Macaca mulatta: one gene and its partners. The protein of the gene in region 3 interacts with the protein of the main gene of each other region in a pairwise test. Links are inferred from orthologs where the notes say so. Each region holds a gene or a part of one and is shown on either strand. Other genes may lie near its edges.

Region 1 (7,219 bases), on a different chromosome or scaffold from region 3:
TTCAGGGACAGCTTCCAAGTTTCTTTTATTTCTGTTTGGACGGTTTAGCCACTGACAGAGAGAAAATTAAAGAGTATCAGTTTTGGATATGATCCTAAATTTAATTTTTAGTATGCTTGAGTATATGTTATCTCTGGGATAGCTACATAAAGATATAGCTGCTGAATATATGAGTCTGGAGAAAGAGGCTTTGGGATAGATATATAAGTTTGTGAGTTGACTACACAGAGGTTGCTAGTGAAGCTATACACAGGTCAGAAATCACCTATAGAGAAATTATAAAGACAGAACGGGGGCTCAGATTGAGCCTTGAAGTAATCTTGGAAATTGAAACAGCATATTCAGGAGTCAGCGAAGTTTTTGTAAAGAAACTTTGTAAAGAAAAATTACAAAAAAGAGTAATTAGTAAATATTTTAAGCTTATAGGCCACCAAGGTCTCTGTTGCTTATTTTTAAACAAACCTGAAGTGTAAAAATATTCTTAGCTTGTGGGCAGTGCAAAAACAGGCCACCTGTTGGATGCGGCCTGTGGGCCTTGTGATCCCTGGCATTTATCAACAACTTTTTATGAGTTTCACTCTGAAAAGGAGGAGACTGGGTGGTAATTTGTTCTTCCTTTAAAACTGGAGAGATGAAAACAATGGGGATAATTAAAATCAAAACACAGAAGCAGAAAATATAACAGAGAACAGGATCAAGACCCTAAAAAAGGCTAGAGGAAATGACATTCAAAACAAAACAACTGGCTGGGTGTGGTGGCTCACGCCAGTAATCCCAGCACTTTGGGAGACAGAGGTGGGTGAATCACGAGGTCAGGAGTTCAAGACTAGCCTGGCCAAAATGGTGAAACCACGTCTCTGGTAAAAATACAAAAATTAGCCGGGCATAGTGGCAGGCGCCTATAATCTCAGCTACTCGGGAGGCAGAGGTTGCAGTGAGTGGAGATCACGCCACTGCACTCCAGTCTGGGTGACAGAGTGAGACTCCAAACAAAAAACAAACAGAACAACTTGCCTCTAGGGAAGAGCAATTTTTCCACTTTAACTAAAATAAAAGGGAGAAGTTAAATAGGAAGGTCTAGACACACATAACGTGAAGTGTCATCAATGCAGTCTCAAAGGAGACAACCTAAAAACCATTGGCTTCAATGCAGTCTCAAAGAAGACAACCTAAAAACCATTGGCTTAGGCAATGCTTGCTTCTCTAGCAAATTAAGATGGAAACACACATCCATAGTTGCCTAGAGGTTCCAGGCCAAATGATCTGAGTGCAGCCCTATGAATCACTACAGATGATTTATTCCTGACCCCCAATTTTGGATGCAACTCTGGGAGAGGTGGACACTCCTATCAATGTCTTTCCTGTGTACACTTGAGAACAGAGGTCTATTCCCACACCAAAAGAGGTCTCATCTTGCTATTTTGACAATACCAATCTACTACAGCAGCAGTTCTCAACTAAGGGCAATTTTGTCCCCTTGGGCACATCTGGCAATATAATTTATGGAGACACTTTTGGTTGTCAGAGCAAGGTGGTTTGTTACTGGCATTTGGTTAGTAAAGGCCATAGATGTTGGTAAACATTCTATAACACACAGAAAAGCACCCACACCAAAGAAATATCCAGGCCAAAATGTCAACAGGGCTATCTTCCCTTGCCTGTCAATTTAAGACGTAACATCCACAGGTTGTTGAGGCATTCCACTCCTGTACACATAAAAGGCAAGGCAATGTTAACAGTTTATCTAGAGGATAGTATAGGTTGAAAGAGAGTTATCAAGCTAAAAAAGTTCACATGGCCATTATCGGAAGGGCATATTAAAAATAGGTTAGTAAAAATGCAATAAAAACGGCAAAACAAAGACACATTTCTGGTCAACAACAAAAGAAATAATTTCTAAAAAAAAAAAAAAAAAAAAAAAAGATGCCCACTGTAGTACTTTCAAAAATTTTAGAAGATCAAATGGGAGAAACATTTGAAAAATTAGAAATGAGAATCCTAAGTGGAGGGTAACAAGAAAGAGAAACTAACAGGAATTCTAGAAAGGAAAAAGAAATAGATGAAGAACAAGTATTCACCCGACAGGTAATACAGCAATTTCTCGAACTAAAGAAAAACGAACGTTCAGACAGAAAAGGCTTACTGAATCACCGGCAGAATTTTTGAAAACGACAAACAGAAATATGTGAAAAACAAAACAAACAAACAAAAAAACTGTGAGTGTTCTGTCATTTAGCAGCTAATCTTTTTCTTTTTTTGAAGTTTATCTGGTTGAATCCAATTTCCTTGATATTAATCTAATGATAACATTAGACTACAGAAAACTAATTAGTTACAGAAAATACATTATATTGAGAATATGTAGTGTATATTTTCTCAGATAGTGAACACCATTATAATTATGTAAAATTCCAACCTGTTCCATTTGGCCACATTAACTGCGAAAGCCACTTCTAAGGGAGTTGATGAAGACTATTTTTCAGCCATATCAGATTTCTTACATCAAAATATTCAGCCCACTCACAATGTAGTGGGGGAAGAGTGAATTTCTTCCATTTTATATATTATTTGCTTCCTCTCAACTTAAAATATATTTGAGATGTGAGTACACTTCTATTTGCAGAGCGGAAAAATGACCACTTGAGATGCTAAAAAATCTGCAAGACTCAAATTATTTCCAATGATTAAATACCTTTTAGTTGTTCCACCACATTATTTAGGTATTTTATGAGCTCAAGATCAGTAGTTACAAGCAAGGTGAGTCCGTATTTCTGCACTCGAGTAAAAGTTTCAGATGGATATATGCCACGCTGATATAAAATGCTGTTGATGCCGAATGCTGCAAGCAAAAGAAATGTTACAGAAAATTCATTATCACTGCATAACTCTGGAAAATAAAATATATTTGGATGTGGCTATATTTTCATTAGGCTATACAGCTATAAATGACTGAACACACGTGTATCTTGCTGAAAGCAGAGTAGGTACAAAGTGGCATTAAAAATCCTTAAAAGTCTTGTATCTAAGTAAAAAAAGATAATTGTTTTCACGTGCCAAGGAAAAAAAAAGCCAAAGTGTATCAACCTACTATTGCCAAATTTCACCTCATTGTAATCCAAGTCCAAATTCAGATTATGAGGCTAGAGGATGTCAAAATAGGCTGTTGCATTCGAGTCAGCAACTGACTGAATAGTCACTTTGCTCCAGACAAGCCTGTATCTTCCCCTTTCCCTCCCAAATCCTGCCAGGTTCCTTTACAACGTGCAGCTGGCCTGTTCGAGAACAAGGGTTCCCAAAATCTTGTTTACCGCCAGCCTCATGCCTAATAATCACTTAGAGTGGGAGGGTGAGGGTGCTCTCGCAGTTAAAAAAAACACACACATACACACCCACACTGGGACCCACCCCAGTCACGCTGTGTCCTGTATCGGAAAGTAAGGGGTGGGAGGTGGGACGGATCTGCACTTAAAGGAAGAAACGCTCCGGAAGAGGCTACGCCGCGAGGTAGGCCCCAGCAGCACGCAGGCTTGCAGCTCCACGTTATAGCAACGCGTCAGGAGGAACAGCCTGCAGCCGCCGCTCCCAGATTACTTCTCCGGTCTCAGAGGCCGAGCTGTGGGCCTACTGAGCCGCCACGACTCAGTTCCCCCCAATATAATGGCCGGCGCGAGGACTTACAGAAGAACTCGGCCACGATTTCAGCGCTCCCGCGCAGGGTGATTCCCTGCTCCCGGGAGAGCTGCAGCGCCATGGCCAGGGACACAAACAAAGGCACGCACTTGCACTCGGCGGACAGCAACCACAGCGGCTCCCACAGCACTTCCCCGCCAAGCGTTTCAAAAGTAACGACGCAGCGCGTTGTCCGGTCCTCTGCGCAGGCGCGACGAGCCTCTAAGCCCCGCCCCACGCGGCGGGGCCCTGCCCTTTCTCTCCGCCTTCCTGCGATCTCGCGGGAACGGCCGGTTTGCGCAGGCGGAGTTGGTGGACCTGCTCGCGCTTGCCGGTTGTGACACTCCGGTAGGTTTAGGTTAGGCTGTGTCTTCTGGTCGTGGTTTACTAGTTGGGGCCGAGGGAAGAAGATGTCGATTCCAATTTCAGTAGCCGCTCTCTAGGCTTATGAACTGAAAGACCAAGGAGCACAGTTTCCGAGTTTCAAAGATACTTTCAAACTGAAAGGAACGGTTTGCCAGCTGCGCCCGTACTGGCCCATGTGACCCCTAGTGAAAGATCTAAACTTCCGCTAGATGCTTTGGGAATTCCTAAAGCGACTACGTGCACAGCAGCCAACCCACAGCTTTAGAGGGTTCGCCTTCTGTGTGGGAGCGCGGCTTTTCCCGAGAAATTGGGTTAGGGATTAAAGAGAACTGCATCCTTTTTTCTGCCCTTTGTCCACGTCTGTCCTGGGCTTAGGGCCACCCCTCCGAGGCCAGCGGGGTAGGCAAGTCGGGCGGTAGGGGGCTGCATCCGGAAGTCCAGGCTGCGTTCTGTCCACCCTGCCCACCCTTAGGGGGCAGGACAGGAATAAGGTCACCTCACCAAAGAGGCCCATCAACATTGAAGAATTTTTCAATGAATCTTGACTCACCAAACTCAATGACTTTTCATTGAAAAGGGTGAGAATTATTAAGGACATATTGCACAATTAATGTTCATGTCCATTTTGAAAGAAGTTTATTCTTAAAGCAGCTAGGAAGATATTTGTAAAACGACGCCTGAAAAACTCTCATATCTGCCAGACATTATAAGAGAAATACTTGAGTGTTGTTAGTTTTCCGTTTGCTGCATAACGAATTACCACACATCAGTGACTTCAAAACAACACCTATTCGTTTTCTCAGTCCTGTAGGTCAGAAGTCTGGACGTGGCATTGTTGACTGCTTTGCTCAGTCACACAAGGTTGAAATCGAAGGGTCTGCAAGTGGGATCTCATCTGAGGTTTGGGGTCCTTCTAAGCCCTCTGGCGGAATTTCCTTGGGGTTGTTGGACTGAGGTCCATTTTGTCTCGCCAGCTGTTGGCCAGAGGCCAGCTATGTTTGTCAGCTAGCCCTTCCACAAGCCTTCTCACACTTCCCATCTCTGTGATTTCGGGGAGACCCCAGCCCCTTTTAAAGGCTCACCTGATTAAGTCAGACCCAGTCACATCTCCCTTTTGATGAACCTAGTCCCAGAAGTGATATCTGCTCATATTTGTAGTTTTCCTACCCAGACTCCGGGGAGGGGATTATGTAGGTGTGCTCTCTAGGGGCCAGGAATGTGGGGAACTGGCTTAGAGTTCTGCCTGTACAGTGTTGTATATCATGTTTTGATCAGTTTGAAGAGTAAGGGATGGGTGTGATAGGTTGCAGGCTGACTTGACCCAGTAAATTTTCCTTAAATCCTTTCATCTCTGTGTGTGTATAAATCACAATCCTTGATGTGAAGAACAGTGTCAGGGAAAGTGCGGAGTAAGAAGCAAGAGAGTTGGATGTCCTTCGCGCCTTCCACTGGAAGCTTGGGTAGAGCTAGAATTTTGGCATCACGCTGGTAGAACATGGTGCCCATGTTTTTCCACATAAAAACTGCCTCTTGTTTCTAAGGAACTTGATATTAACAATCAGCACTTCCGGAAAGATTTTCTTGAGTTTCATGGTATTGTAGTTTTTAAGTTCTCTGAAGCTACAAATAATTTAGTATAACCTGGAAATTCTAGAAATTAAAAGACTGGCATAATTATGATTTTTCTGTGTACAGAGGAAGTACTAAATGTCTGTACCCTATGAGGAGACATAAGACATGAGGTTTAGAAGGAATGGTCTGTGTCTTTTGAGGAGTTTGTAGTCTACTTCGGTTTAAATATTTATACTTTTTTTTTTTTTTAATGAAAATTCGAAGTTCATGAGTTTGGCCTTATCTGGTTTCTGCCTGCATGGGAAGCCCGCTATTAGATTACTTTCCTCGTCTGTCTGCTCCTTTCAATAACTTGGCCCTCCATGTTCTTTTCCACCTTAGTACTTTCCATAATGTACATTCCTTCTCTACCCAGAAATTTCACTTTATCTGCTCAGATTCCTAATTATATTCACACTCTTTCTTAACTTAAATGTTACTTTGCTTAAAGACATTTTCGTTGGCCCTTCGGAACTGTATAAGGACCTCTCTGAAGTATTTTCATAGCATTCATAGTGCTACTTCAGAGCATTTCTTTTATGGTAAAAAATTGTATAATGATTTGTGTTATACCTGATCTGTTTTCTTGTATCAAAAATAAAATTAGGATGAATCTAAAAGTTTATTGTCATAGAAAAAGTACAGATCAGACTCTAGGAGACTTCAAACCAAGTGGGAAGGGTGGTAAGAAACTTGCACTCAGCAATAATGGCACAGCTTATAAGGATAAAGGAGGAAGCATTTGGAGCTTTTCCATGATTGGTTCTTATACATTAAGATTTTTTTGTGGGGGGCAAACAGCTGTTTAAGTTGATTTGTCTATAGTTGATTGGCTTAATTTCACAGAATCATACTAACAAAAATGTAAAGCTTGTGTTTTGTGTTTATGATTAGAGCATTTCAGGGAAATCAGGATGACTTAAGCTTTCGGTTATGTGGTTATGGGCAGTTGGCCTTGATGTATATCTAAACTGTGACTTCCATGTTTATTTTATTTATTTTTAACACCTGTAAGATCCATGATGGCATTTAGTGGATTTTCAATAAATGTTTGTTGAATGAATGAATATTTGCTTAGGAGAGCTTTATGGAAGAATCCAAAACATTTTCTAATTGAAGAATAGGTTGGATGGATGAATGAGGTCACTTTTAGAGAACTGTGAATACCCATCTGTGTTGATTTTATAGGGGGTACCAGGGTTTTCTAGGTTCTTAGGATTGACATAATTAAAGGGGCATTTTTAAAAAATGTTAATTCAGTAATGGTTGTAGAATGGATTGTGTACAGGACAGTCTAGGGTAGTGACCTCAAACTTGATCATGTAGAAGAATTACCTGTGTGTTTTGTAAATTCCTGGCTTTTATTCCACCTTCTCCAGAACTGGTTCAGGCCACACTGAAGCACCTGAAGTATGCTGATCCAAATTGATACATGCTGCAAGTGTAAAATACCAAATTTCAAAGACATCTAAACTAATGGATGTAAAGTATTATGTTAATATGTTTTCTCATTGATTACATCTTGAAAGAATATTTTACATGCATTGGATTACATAAAATATATTATTAAAAT
Region 2 (7,257 bases), on a different chromosome or scaffold from region 3:
GACAGTGGTCCTGAGGAGCTAACTTTCCAGTGTCTACCTGTTCCAACACCAGGTCCTTCTTAGGGGGCTGGGTTTCAGTCAGGGCCAGATGGGCCAGGAAACTCTGCAAGTGGGCCAGGTTGGGCAGCTGGTCCAGTAGTGTGTCTGTGAGGAAGGCCCGAAGCTGCAAGAGTGTCCAGTGGAGGCCAGTGTGATGCAGGTGCTGGCCAGGGGGCCACGGAAAAGGAAGGGGCTGGGTTGGGCTGAGCATGCCTGTGGGGGTCCATGTCCCACTAGCTGGTGTGTCACCTGAGGCCCAAGGACTGAAAAGAGCACGGGGTTTGAGGTGGGTGGGCAAAGATAAACAGCAGGGACAGGGTCAGGGTAGGATGGGGAGGGCGGTGCTGGGGCTGTGGGGGCTGGTGCAGAGGGAGTCCGACCTTGAGTAGCTGTCCCTTGGCAAAACTTGTGAGGCAGTAGCGCGCCTGGGCCTCAGGGCTTAGCAGCAGGTTGTACAGGGCTATCCACACTTGCCCGTCCAACTTGCTCAGCTTTTGCTGCTCTGAGGGGGCCACAGTATGCCAACGGCTGCCCTCGAACTGCTGCAGCTTGCCTGGGGAGAGGAACCAGCACACTGGGTACAGGCATTGCATTCTCTTCAAGTGAGCCAGCTGTGGGGCCTGGGAGACTGACCACTGCCTGGGAATGGTGGGAGAACCTGGGCCACAGGACTTGCCCAGGCTATAGTGCTGCTGACCCCAGAGCAGAGTGAGCCTCAGTAGTGGACACATGGGCCTGGCCTGCTGCAGAGCTCAGGTCTAGGCCACTCTTGGCTGAGGCATCCTGGTATCCTCAGATGGGCTTGGGGACGGGGTTTGTCTTCGTGTGTGCAAACTGCCCCCTCTATCAAAAAGATATCCTGAAGCAGTAGCCTGGGGCTTAGGCTGGTGTGGGAGGACCCTACCTCCTTCCCGCCGGTTCCAGGGACTATGCTCCAGCAGTTCCACCAGGAGGCAGGGCAGGTTGTGTGTGCTAAGCATACGGCTCAAGGTGCTGAGAGAGAGGCTAGGGGCAGGGACGTTGTGAAGGAGGTGAGCAGAGGCAGGCTACAGGCCCAGTCTTCCAGCCCTCCACGGTAGGCCCAGGCCCAGTCGGACTGCCCACCTGTCCACACAGTCTGTGATGTAGCGCAGTACTGAGAGGGCCTTCAGTGCAATCTCAAATTCCATCAGCTCTGCCTGCTTCTGCAGCTCCTGCGAGGTCACACAGTGTTCATGCTGGGCTACCCTTGCCTGTGCAGGCCTTGGGGAACCCAGACCTAGGCTTTCACAATCCTAGGTAACCTCAACCCACCTGCATGGGGTTGCTGTCCTGGGACCCCTCCCCTTCAGGGGGGCCACCACAGCCACTCCGGGCCACCAGCAGAGTCAGTTTGCGGTGGCAATAGTCTACCAAGTCCAAGACAGTGTCTTCTGCTGACTCACACACCTCCTGGGGAAAGGGGGAGGGAAACTTTCTGTGTCTGATGCCCTCCCCACACAGATACAACCTCCCTTCCTGCCAGGCCCTGACCTGAAACTGTGGCCCATGGGCAGAGATAGTCCCTCACCTTGTGGAAGAACACTGTCTCCAAGAGGTTGATGATGGAGGCCTCGTGGTGCACCTGACAGACAAAGAGAGGGACAGGGCCTGTGGTAGGGATAGGGGCTACCAGCTCCCCTCCCCAGTCCAGAGCCCTCTGAAGGAGTGGGAGGAGGTATGAACCAGGGGCCCAGCTCACCACCATGTAGATGGGAAAGGTGTTCTGGGGCTTGAAGTCCTCCACCCTGCAGAGCACGGGGAACACCTTCTGCTTCCACATCTCCACTGCGATCAACTCCTCCACCAGCGTTGGGACCTTTGAAGGATGGGGTAAAGGACAGGGATGAGATGGGCCTACCTTTGCCTGGCAACCCTCCTATCCCCAGCTTGGCTCAGCTCAGCCCAGATCTCCCCAAACACTGCTGGGCCCCTAAACTATCCCAAACCCCATGGCTATCCTTCCTGACTTTTCTCTTGCATTTCGGACCTTCGTTTCCAGCTGCTCCCAACACCTCTGTGGATGTCCCTCATGCTTATGTGACTGGCTCCTGCCCAGTTCCCAGACTGCCTTGCCCTGCCTGCACCTGCCCCCTTATCCTCTCCCCGCCCATTCAGGCGTCCCTTTCAAGTCAGCCCTTCTGCTCATGCCCTCCCTCTTGTCCCTGTCCTGTGGTTCTCTAAGGCTCTTGTGTGCCTTGGCCTCACTCTTACTCAGGACCCTTCACAGTGCCCTGTTCTTCTTATCCTATCCCCTTGTATGAGTTCCACCTTTCTCTTGCAAAGGAACTCTTTTTTTTTTTAAGACAGAGTTTCACTCTTGTCACCAAGGCTGGAGTGCAGTGGCACGATCTCGGCTCTCTGTAACCTCTGTCTCCTAGGTTCAAGCGATTCTCCTGCCTCAGCCTCCCGAGTAGCTGGGATTACAGGTGTGCACCACCATGCTCAGCAAATTTTTGTATTTTTAGTAGAGGCAGGGTTTCACCATGTTGGTCAGGCTGGCCTTGCACTCCTGACCCCAGGTGATCCACCCGTCTTGGCCTCTCAAAGTGCTAGGATTACAGGCATGAGCCACCATGCCTGGCTTTTTTTTTTTTTTTTTTTTTTTTTGGTCAATTGATATCTCAGGTCATCTGCTGGTGACACTCCCTGGTCCATGTTCCAGCCAGCCATCTCATTGGTTTCTAACTTTCCCCTCTCATGTTAGGAAGGCTGCCTCCTTCCATGCCAAAGTTCTACTTCCAGTTAAGTTATCTCCCCTCCCTCCTGCCCTCCCCACCCCCTCCCCAGCCTTACAGTCAATTCACAGATGCCTTTAGCATTTGGGCCTTCCCCTCGAAGCCTAAGCTGTTTTAGGACCTACAGCTTTCTCCCTAATCAACTCATGCCCTGTACCTAGCCTGGTGTGCCAGAGTCCTGTCCAACAGCGACACAAAATGAAACATGTAACACATTCCTCTCTCCCCTTCAGGGAGGACAGGTGTACCAGGCCAGAGGGGAAAAGCACACAGGGGACTCCTGAGGGTTAGAGTAGGTGAGGTATGGGGGAAGGCAGGAACCCTGCCTGTGACCTCGGGGTACCTTCCCATGGGTGACCAGCAGCTCCTGAATGGGCTCGCCCTGGCTGATTGTGGCATCCAGGATGGCTTGCATGTTCAGCTTCTCCAGGTTCTCGTGCTGCTGGTTCCACCTGCCTCAGAGGGTTGTGTAAGTGCATGTGGGTCCACGTGTGTGCATTTGGAGTGGGGATGGGGGCTGGATCCTATTGAAGCCTAACCTGATCCTGAGGGGGCACAGGGGGCTCAGGAACAATTATATTCCTGTCTCGGAACACTCTGCTCCCCCATTTGGGAGCCCCTCCACACTGGGCAGCCCCTCCCCCCATGTCAGGCTCCAGCTCCCCCACTCAGGGACAATGACTCCGTGACTCCGCCTGACCCGGGTGCCTCACCCTTCGGAGCCCATCTCGCGTAGCGGGAAGCTGCGCAGACCCCGCACCAGCACTTCAGCTTCCCCGGGCAGCAGCAGTTCCAGGTCTCCCATATCGAGGCCGGGGTCCGGCGGATCCTGGGCAGCAGCCGGGGTGGGGATGCTGACACACTCGGGGACGACGGACCCCGACGGTGCCAAAGTCTGGGACAGGACAGTTGTGGGACGGTTGGGGAGCGTGAGTTCTCGCAGCCATGGAAACGGGTTAGCCGCGCCTGCGCAGTGCGGCCTGGGCTCCGCCCCTGGAGGTGGCTCGCGCCTAAATCCGGGCGGGTCTCCAGCCCGCCTCGCCTACGGGGCTGCCAATCGCCACAGTATTTGGATTCCCACAGCTTTCTCGCGATGTGGACCACGAGTCTCTCCTGAGCTCCAGTTCCTTGTGGTCTGGACTCTGCCCTCGGACGCCAAGTCGGCTTGCACGGGGATGGGGGTAACCCCGACCCCACGAGCTCCTCCTGCTGCTGCTGCGGCATCTTGACCCACCCGCTGCTCCACCTCCTCCTTATGGCTTCCTGATTCCTCTGTTTCTCGCGTCCCGGCTCCATTAGTTGGCTCCTGAAATACTGCCAGGGCGCACGACTTCTCTCCATCCTCCCTATGTCCAGACTGTCATCACCTGTCGTGGGTTAACTGCGGCAGCCTTTTCTGTAGACTTACTTCCACGCTTGATCCTCACGGACAGCCCCGGAGCCTTAAAAGTGTGTATCACGCCGGGCGCGGTGGCTCACGCCTGTAATCTCAACACTTTGGGAGGCCGAGGCGGGCAGATCACTTAAGGTCAGGAGTTTGAGACCAGCCTGGGCAACATGGTGAAACCCTGTCTCTATTAAAAGTACAAAAATTAGGCCGGGCGCGATGGCTCAAGCCTGTAATCCCAGCACTTTGGGAGGCCGAGACGGGCGGATCACGAGGTCAGGAGATCGAGACCATCCTGGCTAACACGGTGAAACCCCGTCTTTACTAAAAAATACAAAAAACTAGCCGGGCGAGGTGGCGGGCGCCTGTAGTCCCAGCTACTTGGGAGGCTGAGGCAGGAGAATGGCGTAAACCCGGGAGGCGGAGCTTGCAGTGAGCTGAGATCAGGCCACTGCACTCCAGCCTGGGCCACAGAGCAAGACTCCGTCTCAAAAAAAAAAAAAAAGTACAAAAATTAGACAGGTGTGGTAGCACACACCAGTTGTCCCAGCTACTCGGGAGACTGAGGCAGGAGAATCGCTTGAGCACAGGAGGCGGAGTTTGCAGTGAGGCAAGATTCCACCACTGCACTCCAGCTTGGACAACAAAGGGAGACTCTGTCTCAAAAAAAAAAAAAAAAAAGTGTATAGGCATCATTCCTTCACATGAGAGGGGCTCTGCAACTACCTCTGGCCCTCAAAATGCTAGGTCGGGTGCTGCTTACCAGCAGCTCTGCAAGACCTACTTCTTGCCTGTCTTGTACCTCGGGACTTGGATTCTTTCCTCTCCTCCTTTCTTCCCTGGACCTACCTCATACATTCCAAAGAGGTTTTGCCTCAGGGTTTTGCACTTTGCCTGGAATACTCTTCCTTCAGGGCTCAGTTTACATCTCAGTATGGCCTTTCTTGGCCGTTTAATCCAGAGCAGTCCCTGCCTCCAACCCACTTTTTTTTTTTTTTTTTTTTTTTTTTTTTTTTTTGAGAGTCTCAGTCTGTCACCCAGGCTGGAGTGCAGTGGTGTGGTCTCACTCACTGCAACTTTCACCTCCTGGGTTCAAGCCATTCTCTGCCTCAGCCTCCCAAGTAGCTGGGATTACAGGCACCCACCACACACGCGGTTTTTTGTATTTTTAGTAGAGACAGGGTTTCACCACCTTGGCCAGGCTGGTCTTGAACTCCTGACCTCGTGATCCACCTGCCTCGACCTCCCAACTCACTCTTGATCACATCTGTTCCTTTTTTTGAGATTGAGTCTCCTGTCACCTAGGCTGGAGTGCAGTGGCATGATCTCGGCTCACTGCAACCTCTGCCTCCCAGGTTCAAGTGATTCTCTTGCCTCAGCTTCCTGAGTAGCTGGGATTACAGGTGCGCACCACCACACCTGGCTAATTTTTTATATTTTTTTTAGTGGAGATGGGGTTTCACTATGTTGGCCAGGTTGTTCTTGACCATCTGACCTCAGGTGATCTACCCGTCTCAGCCTCCCGAAGTGCTGGGATTATAGGTATGAGCCACAGCACCCAGCTACATCTGTTTCTTTCTAGGTTTATTATTATTATTGAGATGGGGTCTTGCTCTATCACCCAGGCTGGGGTGCAGTGATGGGATCACAGCTAAATGTAGCCTCCAACTCCTGGCCTCAAGTGATCCCCCCACTTCAGCCTCCTGAGTAACTGGGGCTACAGGTGAGTCACCGCGACCAGACGATTTTTTTTTTTTTTTGTAATTAACCGGCACTTTTACTTGTCGATTGTCGGTCCTGCCCACCAGATGGCGATCTAGAGCACAGCTCGTAGCTATTTCATTCACCGCTGGGTCTCCGGTGGCTGGCCCAGAAGCAGCACTCAATAAAGGCTGTTTGAAATGGATGTCTTTATTTACAGAACTAAGAGTCAAGCTCTAGACAGTATGACAAGCCTCCTGGTAGGAGGGACTACCCACAGCAATGTGTCCATCCAGCCACCACCAGCCTCACTTCCAGCAGATGATAATGTTGGGGTCATTTTCAAGCCGCTCATCCAGCTCATGGTAGCTCATGCCTGGGTGGGGTGGTGGAGGAGAGGTCGGTGGCCTTGGCCTGGCCACCCTACCCTGACCCCACCCTGACTGCCCGCCTGCCTCCACCTGTCTTGCAGCAGATCTCGTCATAGCTGTGGCAGCCTGTATAAAGCCGGGCAGGGTGGCTCTGCTCTTCCCGAGACACCCGCACAGGATACTTCTGTAGTCGCCTGATGAGGTTCTTCATAAGCCCGAACTGGATCAGCTTCCTAGGGTGAGGATCAGAGGACAGAGGGGTGACGCCCTGGCCAGGCCTTCTCTCAGGCAGGCGAACCCTTTCCTGTAGTGTCCCTTCAATTTTGTCTTTGTAGCCCACCATCTCCAGGAAGCCTGCTTGGATTGGCAGTGCCCCATGACCCAGGGCTCCTGAGAGACATAAAGGGTCTAGCTTTCCTCAGGTAACTCCCAAATGCCCCAGCGAATTCTCCTCTGACCGTTCATCAACGTGCTGCAGCTGCTGGGGGTGGCGGCCAATGAGGTCTCGCACAGTAGTGCCAGGGCTCAGGCTGCAGTATAGCTGGAACACATCCCGGAGACTGGCCCTCTTGTGCCCTGTGGGTGCCAGGGATCAGTTCACCATGTGGCCCTGCCCTCCCCAAGATGGCTTCCCCCAGAGCCCACCACTACCTTGCTTGGTCACGTAGGATAGACATGCCTCCTGCAGGGACTTGTCATCTACCAGGTCCTGGACCTTGGGCGTTGGGCAGTATACATTGGAGTACTAGAGGGTAGCAGAAGGCATAGGGGCCTGAGTGAGGGGCTTGGGAAGGTGACACAGCCCTGGTCTGGTCCAGTCACATGGTCCACTCTCCACTTAACCAAACCCAACTCACCTACCTGGAGGATGGACACCAGTGTCACAACGCCATAGTACCTGAGAGAGAGAGTTGTGCTCAGCTTCTGAGGACCATGCCTTCCCAACCCTCACACCCAGGGCCCCTGAGCTCTTCCCTGGCTGGTGACCTTGTACCGGGTATGA
Region 3 (7,069 bases):
ATTAGCCTTCCTCCCTCTCCACCTCTCTACTCCCTTTGGAGGACCCGGGAGTCCTGTCCCCGCAGCCCTTCCCTTCTCCAGCTCTGGAGAAGGCATTAGGCAGGTACTAGAAGCAAGAAATGGGTAAACCTGAGGAATGGGAGGAGTGGTGTATGGGACATTACAGAGGGTCTCCCAAGTGGGAGGAGCGGGGGACTGATGGAAGAACCGAGAATAGACTCCAAAGTCCCTGCTCCCCCTGGGCCGGGACCCTAAACAGAGGCTACTCAGAGTGTCTGCCTTCTTTTATATTTTATTTTATTTTTTTGAGACAGTCACTCTGTCAGCTAGGGTGGAGTGCAGTAGCACAATCATGGCTCACTGCAGCCTCGAATTCCCAGGCTTAAGTGATCCTCCAGCCTCAGCCACCCGAGTAGCTGGACAGTTACGGCGCGCACCACCGTAACTGGCTAATTTTTTATTTTTTGTTAACACAGGGTCTCAGTATGTTGTCCCTGCTGGTCTCAAACTCCTGGGCTCAAGTGATCCTCCTGCCTCAGCCTCCCAAAGTGCTGGGAGAATAAGCCACCGCTCCCAGCCTGTGCCTTTGCTGGAGTCTCGCTCTGTCACCCATGCTGGAGTGCAGTGATGTGATCTTGGCTCACTGCAACCTCTGCCTTCCGGGTTACAGTGATTCTCCTGCCTCGGTCTCCTGAGTAGCCAGGACTACTGGCGCCCGCCATCACACCTGGCAAATTTTTCTATTTTCAGTAGAGACAACAGGGTTTCACCATGTTGGCCAGGCTGGTCTTGAACTCCTGACCTCAAGTGATCCTCCCACCTCAGCCTCCCAAAGTGCTGGGATTATAGGTGTGAGCCACTGCACCCAGGCTGCCTTCTTAAAATGACTCCAATGTCACCTCTTAGAGAGGTATTTCCCCATCATTCACTGGTCCACTGAACTGTTTCATTTTTTTTATAGCACCTAACATTATCTGAAATTAAAGTATTTATTGTGTCTCTCCCCGGCTAGAAGGTCAGTTTGCTCAGTAGCTATTTGTAGAATGAATGGATCCTCAGAAACTGCTCCTCCATCCCCTCACCCACCCCTCACTCTCGCCTCCCCTCTCAAACTTCTCGGACTCAGGTGGAATTCTGCTCCTGCGCTCAGCCCTGGGGTTGGCGGGGGCTGGTTGTGGAGCTGGGGGGAGGCGGAGCCTGGGCGTGGACCTGCATAGCCCAACAGGCGCTGGGGGCGGCAGCAAAAAGGGCGGGGGCGACAGGAACATGACAAGACGCCTCTGTGAGGCCCCGGGAGGCCCCAGCTTCTCAGAAAAGCCAAGAACAGAGAGTCCAGGGTGGTTAGAGGGACAGAGCAGAGGAAGGGGGCCCAGGTGGTGTCCCCTGGCCATTCTCCACCACTCCCTTCTGTTAAGAGGGAGAAGAGGCATGAGGGGATGTGGAAGGGAGACAGACTTTTGGGCAGGGAAATAGCAAAACAGTTACGTGCAAACAGCAGACCGTCAGGAGGTGGGGGAAAGCTGGGGAGCAGGGGGCACTGGAGAGAGACAGGCAGGGTCTGTGGCCCCAAGAGAAGCTCAGGCCAGGCTTAAGGACAGAGAGCAGGGAAGCTGGAGGCCAAGGGGGTTTGCTTTGGAAGAGTCTGGGGACAGGACAGGAAGAGAAACAGCATCTTCTCCCCTGGGGTGGGTGCTGAATGCAGGAGTTCAAGAAGAGTTGGGCGGGGAGGGGGTGGGGAGTGGTAGGAAGGGGCGTCACGAGAGACGTGAGCTTGAGGCCAGGAGGGGGTTGGGGGGAGCCAGTCCTGACCGGTCCTGACAGGACCCAGACATCCAGTCCCAGGTTATTTTTATACTGTGGTTTGTGCCCAAGGCCAGGAAGGGGAAAGAGTTCGCATCCTCACACCCCCTGCCTTTCCCCAGCCCTCCGAGGTGTTATATTCTCCCCGCAGGACAGAAGTATCCCACCCTTTTGTCTCTGGCTGCTCACCCCCACCACGGGGACCCAGGCATGCTGCCCCCCCAGCCCGGACTTGTTCCTCTTTTGGAGACAGGAAGGAGAAAGAGTATGGGACTGAACTCCTTCTGGGGCTTTTCTCCCCCACTCCATGGTGGTCACCCTGGAGTTATCAATCACAGAGAGGCTCAGATGGAGGGAGTTGAGACAGACAACTGGGGGGTGAAAAGGATCAACCAGCAAGCCCCCTCCCCATCCCTGAGAGGTGTTCCCCCCACCCAATTTCTCAGTGACACTTGGCCTACAGCAAAGCTGGAGGTAGGACTGAGATGGGTGGCTGGGGGAAAAGAAAGACCCCTACATTCAGGATGGGGCTGCAGTGCAGAGACTAGCAGCGCGCAAAGCCTACCTTTTACCTTTCCTCCCCAAATCCTGGCAGCTCCTCCCCCAGGGACCCAGCTACCCAGCTGAGGCCTCCACCCTCATCACCTAGAGGCAGAGGGGCTGAGACCAAGACAGAAGAAGGCCTGGTGAGGGGGCCACATATGCTATAGGCTACATGAAGACCAAGACAGAGAATCAGAGGCCAGGGAGAAAGAGAGAGGGTGCAGAAAAACAGGAAGGAGGCTGAGACAGAAAATGAAGGAGGAGGAAGGGGCTTCAGAGTGACCTGGCAGGCACAGAGAAGAGGGCTGTCTGATCTGATAGACAAGTAATGGAGGAGGAGGGGGAGGGGGAGGGGAGGGGAAGGGACGGGAAGGAGGAGGGGGAGAAGGAAGGGGAGGAGAAGGGGTGGGAGGAGGGAGTCCCAAGATAGAGGTTAGGCCAGGGCTGATGGGCGAGCCCTAGAACCCAGGTCTTACCTGCCCCATCTCCTCTGGAGCACCCAACTCCATCCGCAGCCGCATGTCTACAGCTTTCCTCCGGGACAGTGGAGGGGTCCTGGTCCCTGAGCCCCCAGCCTCCGCGTCCACCCTCAGAGAGGGCAGGGGCGTGGCAGCCCGGGATGTGCCCGCACTCTCACCGGTCCCAGGCTCTGGGGGGCGCTGCTGGGGTGGGGAGGCCGACAGTGGGGGTGTCTCTGCCTTGGCTTTGCCGGGCACCACCAGCTGGCCCAGTCCCCCAGTGAAGGAGCGGGCCTGAGGTCCGGGAGAGGTGGGGGGTGGACGGAGCCAGGAGGTGGGGCCCTGAGACAGGCCTGACTGTGGGGTGGGGGTGCCCAGGCCGAGGCTGGCCAGCTCCAACCTGGAATCCAAAGATCTGCCCCCGGCGCCCCCTGAGGCCCCTCGAATTCCCTCCAGGAGTCGGCCGAAGCTGTGGGGCTCCAGGTCTCGCTCATAAACATCCACACACGTCCAGCGACCACGGCGATATGGCTCTCCCAGGCCGTGGGGCAGCTTCACCACCCGGAAACGGGAGGAGGGGGCCCCAGGTGGTGGGGAGCCATTCCGGGGGGTGCCCTTGCCCCCCGGATCAGGGCTGGGCTCCCCACTGGGCAGGCGGGGCAGGGGCCCGGTGGGGGGCTGTGGAGTAGGCGGATCTGAAGTCCCTGGGCTCCCCGGGCCCTCATAGTCTGTGGTGACGCTGGTGATTTGGAAACTACTCTTCTTCTTGCCCCCGCTCATGGTCCCTGGGGCTCAGGGCTGGGCCAAGGTTGGGGGTGGGTTGGGACTCCTTGAAGGGGCTCAGGCACCCCTGGAACAAGGGGGCCACATGGTGGGGGCATCCGGGCCCCTGGGGACGTCTGGGTCCGACATGGCAGGAGGGCCTGGTGGGAACCCGGGGTGCCTGCTGGGTGAGGGGAGAAGAGGAGAGGGGAGGTGGCGGGAGGGGGGAGCACGGGCAGGTTTTTCCTGCTGCTGTTGCTGCTGAACTCCAGAGCTGAGTTTGCAAACTGGAAAAAGAGGGAGAGAGAGAGTGTGTGTGTGTGTCTGTGTGTGTGTGTGAAACCAGTGGGCAGGCCACCTCCGGGGCTTCCTCTCCGGGGAGCAGAGTGGGGGAAGGGGAAACCGTCAGAGACCCGGAGACAGGCAAGAGATGACAGAGACCAGGGCAGAGGGGACCAGATCCAAAAAGGCGCTCAGAGTAGGAAGAGGCAGATGAGTTCCAGAGTTGTGCATTTCTCATCTGAGATTCTGACTCAGGGGGCGGGTATTGTCCCAAGAGCTTGGACTCCAGGGCCTGGGAGAACCGGGGTGAAGCAGCTCCCCAGCCTGGCCCGGCCACTCAGAGAGACCTCTCCTGGGCCTCGAGCCCACCCCAGCTCCCACATCCCTGGGGCAGGCCCTGCCCGGCTACCCCCAGCGCCCCACCCAGCCCCGAATCCTACCTCTGGGGCCTCAGCCACTGATCTGAGCCTGAGGGTCCCGGCGCCTAAGAGGTCGGGCTGTGCGTTCCCTGGGGCCTTCTGGCCAGGGGGAGTGGCGGGGCACGCAGGCGGCGATCAGAGGTTGCCCCGTCCTCTCCGGGGGCCTCAGCTCATCCTGGGAGGCATCTCCGAGGAAAGTTTGCTCTCCGGAAAAGAAGGAACCCGCGGCTCCTCCGAGGAGCCCAGGAGCGGCCGCTGAAGCCCCAGGGGTCTGGAGACTGATGTGGGAGAGGGCGGCCGAGCCCCCCGCTGCTCCCGGTGGCAGCCAGCGAGTGGGTGTCTCGAGTCTCCTCCCGCGTGGCCCCGCTGGGTCCGTGTCTCCGCTCCTCCGCTCCCCTGGGTCTCTGCCTCTCCGTCTTTCTCCTTCTGAGCTGTTGACAACCCCCACACCAGGAAGTCCTGCCTCCTCGGGCCTGCTGACTGCTCCTCTCCTCCTCCTCCTCCTCCTCCTTCCCCTCCTCCTCCCCTTCCTCCTCCCTCCCTCCCTCCTGGGGCTTCCCGCCAGCTGGCCCGGGGCCAGGCCTGCCACAGCCGCTGCTGTTGCAGTTGCTGCAGCCACTGCTTAGGCTGCTGCTCCTGGGGGCCCCAAACAGACTCTCTTAACCCCACACCTGCCGGGCCCAGCCCCACTCTTGCAGGCAGGGGCTGCAGAGGGCGGGGCTCGGGGAGAAAGGGGAGGAGCTTGCAGGGAGGCGAGGGATTCCCTTACTTGTAGTCAGTTGCTGCCATTGGCCTAGAGACACACAGAAGAAACGGAAGGCACAGGCCGGGAGGTGTGCTGGATGCCCACCCAGAAGTGCCCAGTCCCTGCTGCGGGGCGGCTGTGGCTGTCATTCTCCTTTGGTTTTCACAGCAACTGCATGAGGAAGGTACTATTATTCCCCCCATTCCTTATTTTTAAAAGTGGATTATTGCCGGACCCCGGTGGTGGCTCATGCCTGTAATCCCCACACTTTGGGAGGTCAAGGAAGGAGGATTGCTTGAGACCAGTTTGGACAATATAATAGCAAGACCTCGTCTCTACAAAACAAACAAAAAAAATTGGCTGGGCATGGTGATGTGCACCTATAATTCCAGCTACTCAAAGGCTGAGGTGGGAGGATCCCTTGAGCCCAGGAGTTTGTGACCAGCCTGGGCAATATAGCGAGATCCCCATCTCTACAAAAAATTAAAAAATAGCACTTTGGGAGGCCGAGGCGGGCGGATCACGAGGTCAAGAGATTGAGACCATCCTGGCCAACATGGTGAAACCCCATCTCTACTAAAAATATAAAAATTAGCCAGGTGTGGTGGCATGCGCCTGTAGTCCCAGCTACTCAGGGGGCAGGAGAATCACTTGAACCCGGGAGGCGGAGGTTGCGGTGAGTAGAGATCGTGCCACTGCACTCCAGCCTGGCGATTAGAGCGAGACCGTCTTAAAAAAAAAAAAAAAAAAAAGCTGAGTGTGGTGATGTAGACCTGTAGTCCCAGCTACTCAGGAGGCTGTGAGGCAGGAGAATCTCTTGAGCCCAGGAGGTTGAGGATGCAGTGAGCCTACATTGTGCCACTGCACTCCAGCCTGGGCAACAGAATGAGACCATGTCTCACCAAAAAAAAAAAAAAAAAAAAAAAAAGTGGATTATTATGAAAATTTTCAAACGTGCCATGCAGACATGGGGAGACCATGCAAACTCCACACGGATGGTGGTCCCAACCCAAAATTAATTTTTAAAAAATCATCAACGTTATAATGAAATGACATTCAATGAAATGACATGTGGGAGCCAGCTGTATTTTGCTGGACTATTTGAAACCAAATCCTGGATGTTATACTATTTCCCTTTGCCCCAACCACTCCCCCACATTTTTTTTAGAGACAGGTGCTCTCTCTCTCTCGCTCTCTCTCTTCTATTGCCCAGGATGGAGTGCAGTGGTGTGATCATAGCTCACCACAGCCTGGAACTCCTAGGCTCAAGCCATGCTCCTGCCTCAGCCTCCCAAGTAGCTAGGACTTTAGATGCACGCCACCACACCCAGCTAATTTTTAAATTTTTGTAGAGATGGGAGCTCTCACCATGTTGCCCAGTATGGTCTCAAACTCCTGGCTTCAGTTGGTCCTCCCGCCTCAGCCTACCAAGTAGCTGGGACTACAGACACACACTACTACGCCTGGCTAAATTTCTTTAAAAAAAAATTTTTTTTGGTAGAGATGGGGGTCTTGCAATGTTGCCCAGGGTCGTCTTGAACTCCTGGCCTCAAGTGATCCTCCTGCTTCTGCCTCCCTAGTAGCTGGGACCACAGGTGTACTCCACCACACCTGGCTAATTTTTTAGTTTTCATAGAGACAGGGTCTTACTATGTTGCCCAGGCTGGCCTCAAATGATACTCCCACCTGGGCCTTCCAAAAAACTGACATTACAGGCGTGAGCCATGGTGCCTGGCCTCAGGGAAATTTCTAACCCCTCTTTAGGGTTAGGTAAAAATAAAACAATGGAATACCTACCCTCGTTATGTATTTGTTCTTTATCTCTTTGTTAGAAACATCCACACTCCTGTTTCTCTCCCTTAAGCCATAGTAACAATGACTGCCATAGCCCAGGTCTGTGAGCCTCCCAAGTAGTGATGTCTGGGAAGCAGCCTCCCACCTGCTCCCTACCCCTCCAGACTGCATCCCTCTGTCCCTCACAGAACCTCTTCTCCTCTAGCAACACTCAGAACATGGCCTTGGTCCCTCCGTCCCCAGGCCCTCCTTCCTTCTTGCTGACT

Evidence for each region. The genes of interacting proteins can lie anywhere in the genome.
Region 1: the proteins of TSC22D4 (region 3) and MAD2L1 interact in binary tests that used the Homo sapiens proteins (3 or more experiments, as listed by UniProt). The two-hybrid records come from large-scale screens. The link is inferred for Macaca mulatta from reciprocal best matches to the Homo sapiens genes TSC22D4 and MAD2L1.
Region 2: the proteins of TSC22D4 (region 3) and ZMYND10 interact in binary tests that used the Homo sapiens proteins (3 or more experiments, as listed by UniProt). The two-hybrid records come from large-scale screens. The link is inferred for Macaca mulatta from reciprocal best matches to the Homo sapiens genes TSC22D4 and ZMYND10.

What each region holds. Positions count from the first base shown.
Region 1 is NC_133410.1:128,905,748-128,912,966, forward strand, and holds the start of MAD2L1 (mitotic spindle assembly checkpoint protein MAD2A), read right to left. Parts: upstream 3,827-7,219; 5' UTR 3,752-3,826; coding exon 3,679-3,751; intron 2,840-3,678; coding exon 2,693-2,839; intron 1-2,692. UniProt on the Homo sapiens protein: Component of the spindle-assembly checkpoint that prevents the onset of anaphase until all chromosomes are properly aligned at the metaphase plate.
Region 2 is NC_133407.1:113,821,544-113,828,800, forward strand, and holds the start of ZMYND10 (zinc finger MYND domain-containing protein 10), read right to left. Parts: upstream 3,827-7,257; 5' UTR 3,601-3,826; coding exon 3,509-3,600; intron 3,248-3,508; coding exon 3,139-3,247; intron 1,877-3,138; coding exon 1,760-1,876; intron 1,643-1,759; coding exon 1,589-1,642; intron 1,471-1,588; coding exon 1,333-1,470; intron 1,233-1,332; coding exon 1,144-1,232; intron 1,045-1,143; coding exon 944-1,044; intron 679-943; coding exon of another isoform or gene 593-678; coding exon 420-592; intron 164-419; coding exon 38-163; intron 1-37. Other genes in the region: GATOR1 complex protein NPRL2, read right to left, coding at 6,192-6,259, 6,345-6,487, 6,713-6,830, 6,906-6,999, 7,116-7,152. UniProt on the Homo sapiens protein: Plays a role in axonemal structure organization and motility. Involved in axonemal pre-assembly of inner and outer dynein arms (IDA and ODA, respectively) for proper axoneme building for cilia motility.
Region 3 is NC_133408.1:47,675,531-47,682,599, forward strand, and holds the start of TSC22D4 (TSC22 domain family protein 4), read right to left. Parts: upstream 4,707-7,069; 5' UTR 4,286-4,706; intron 3,851-4,285; exon of another isoform or gene 3,748-3,850; 5' UTR 3,582-3,747; coding exon 2,820-3,581; intron 1-2,819.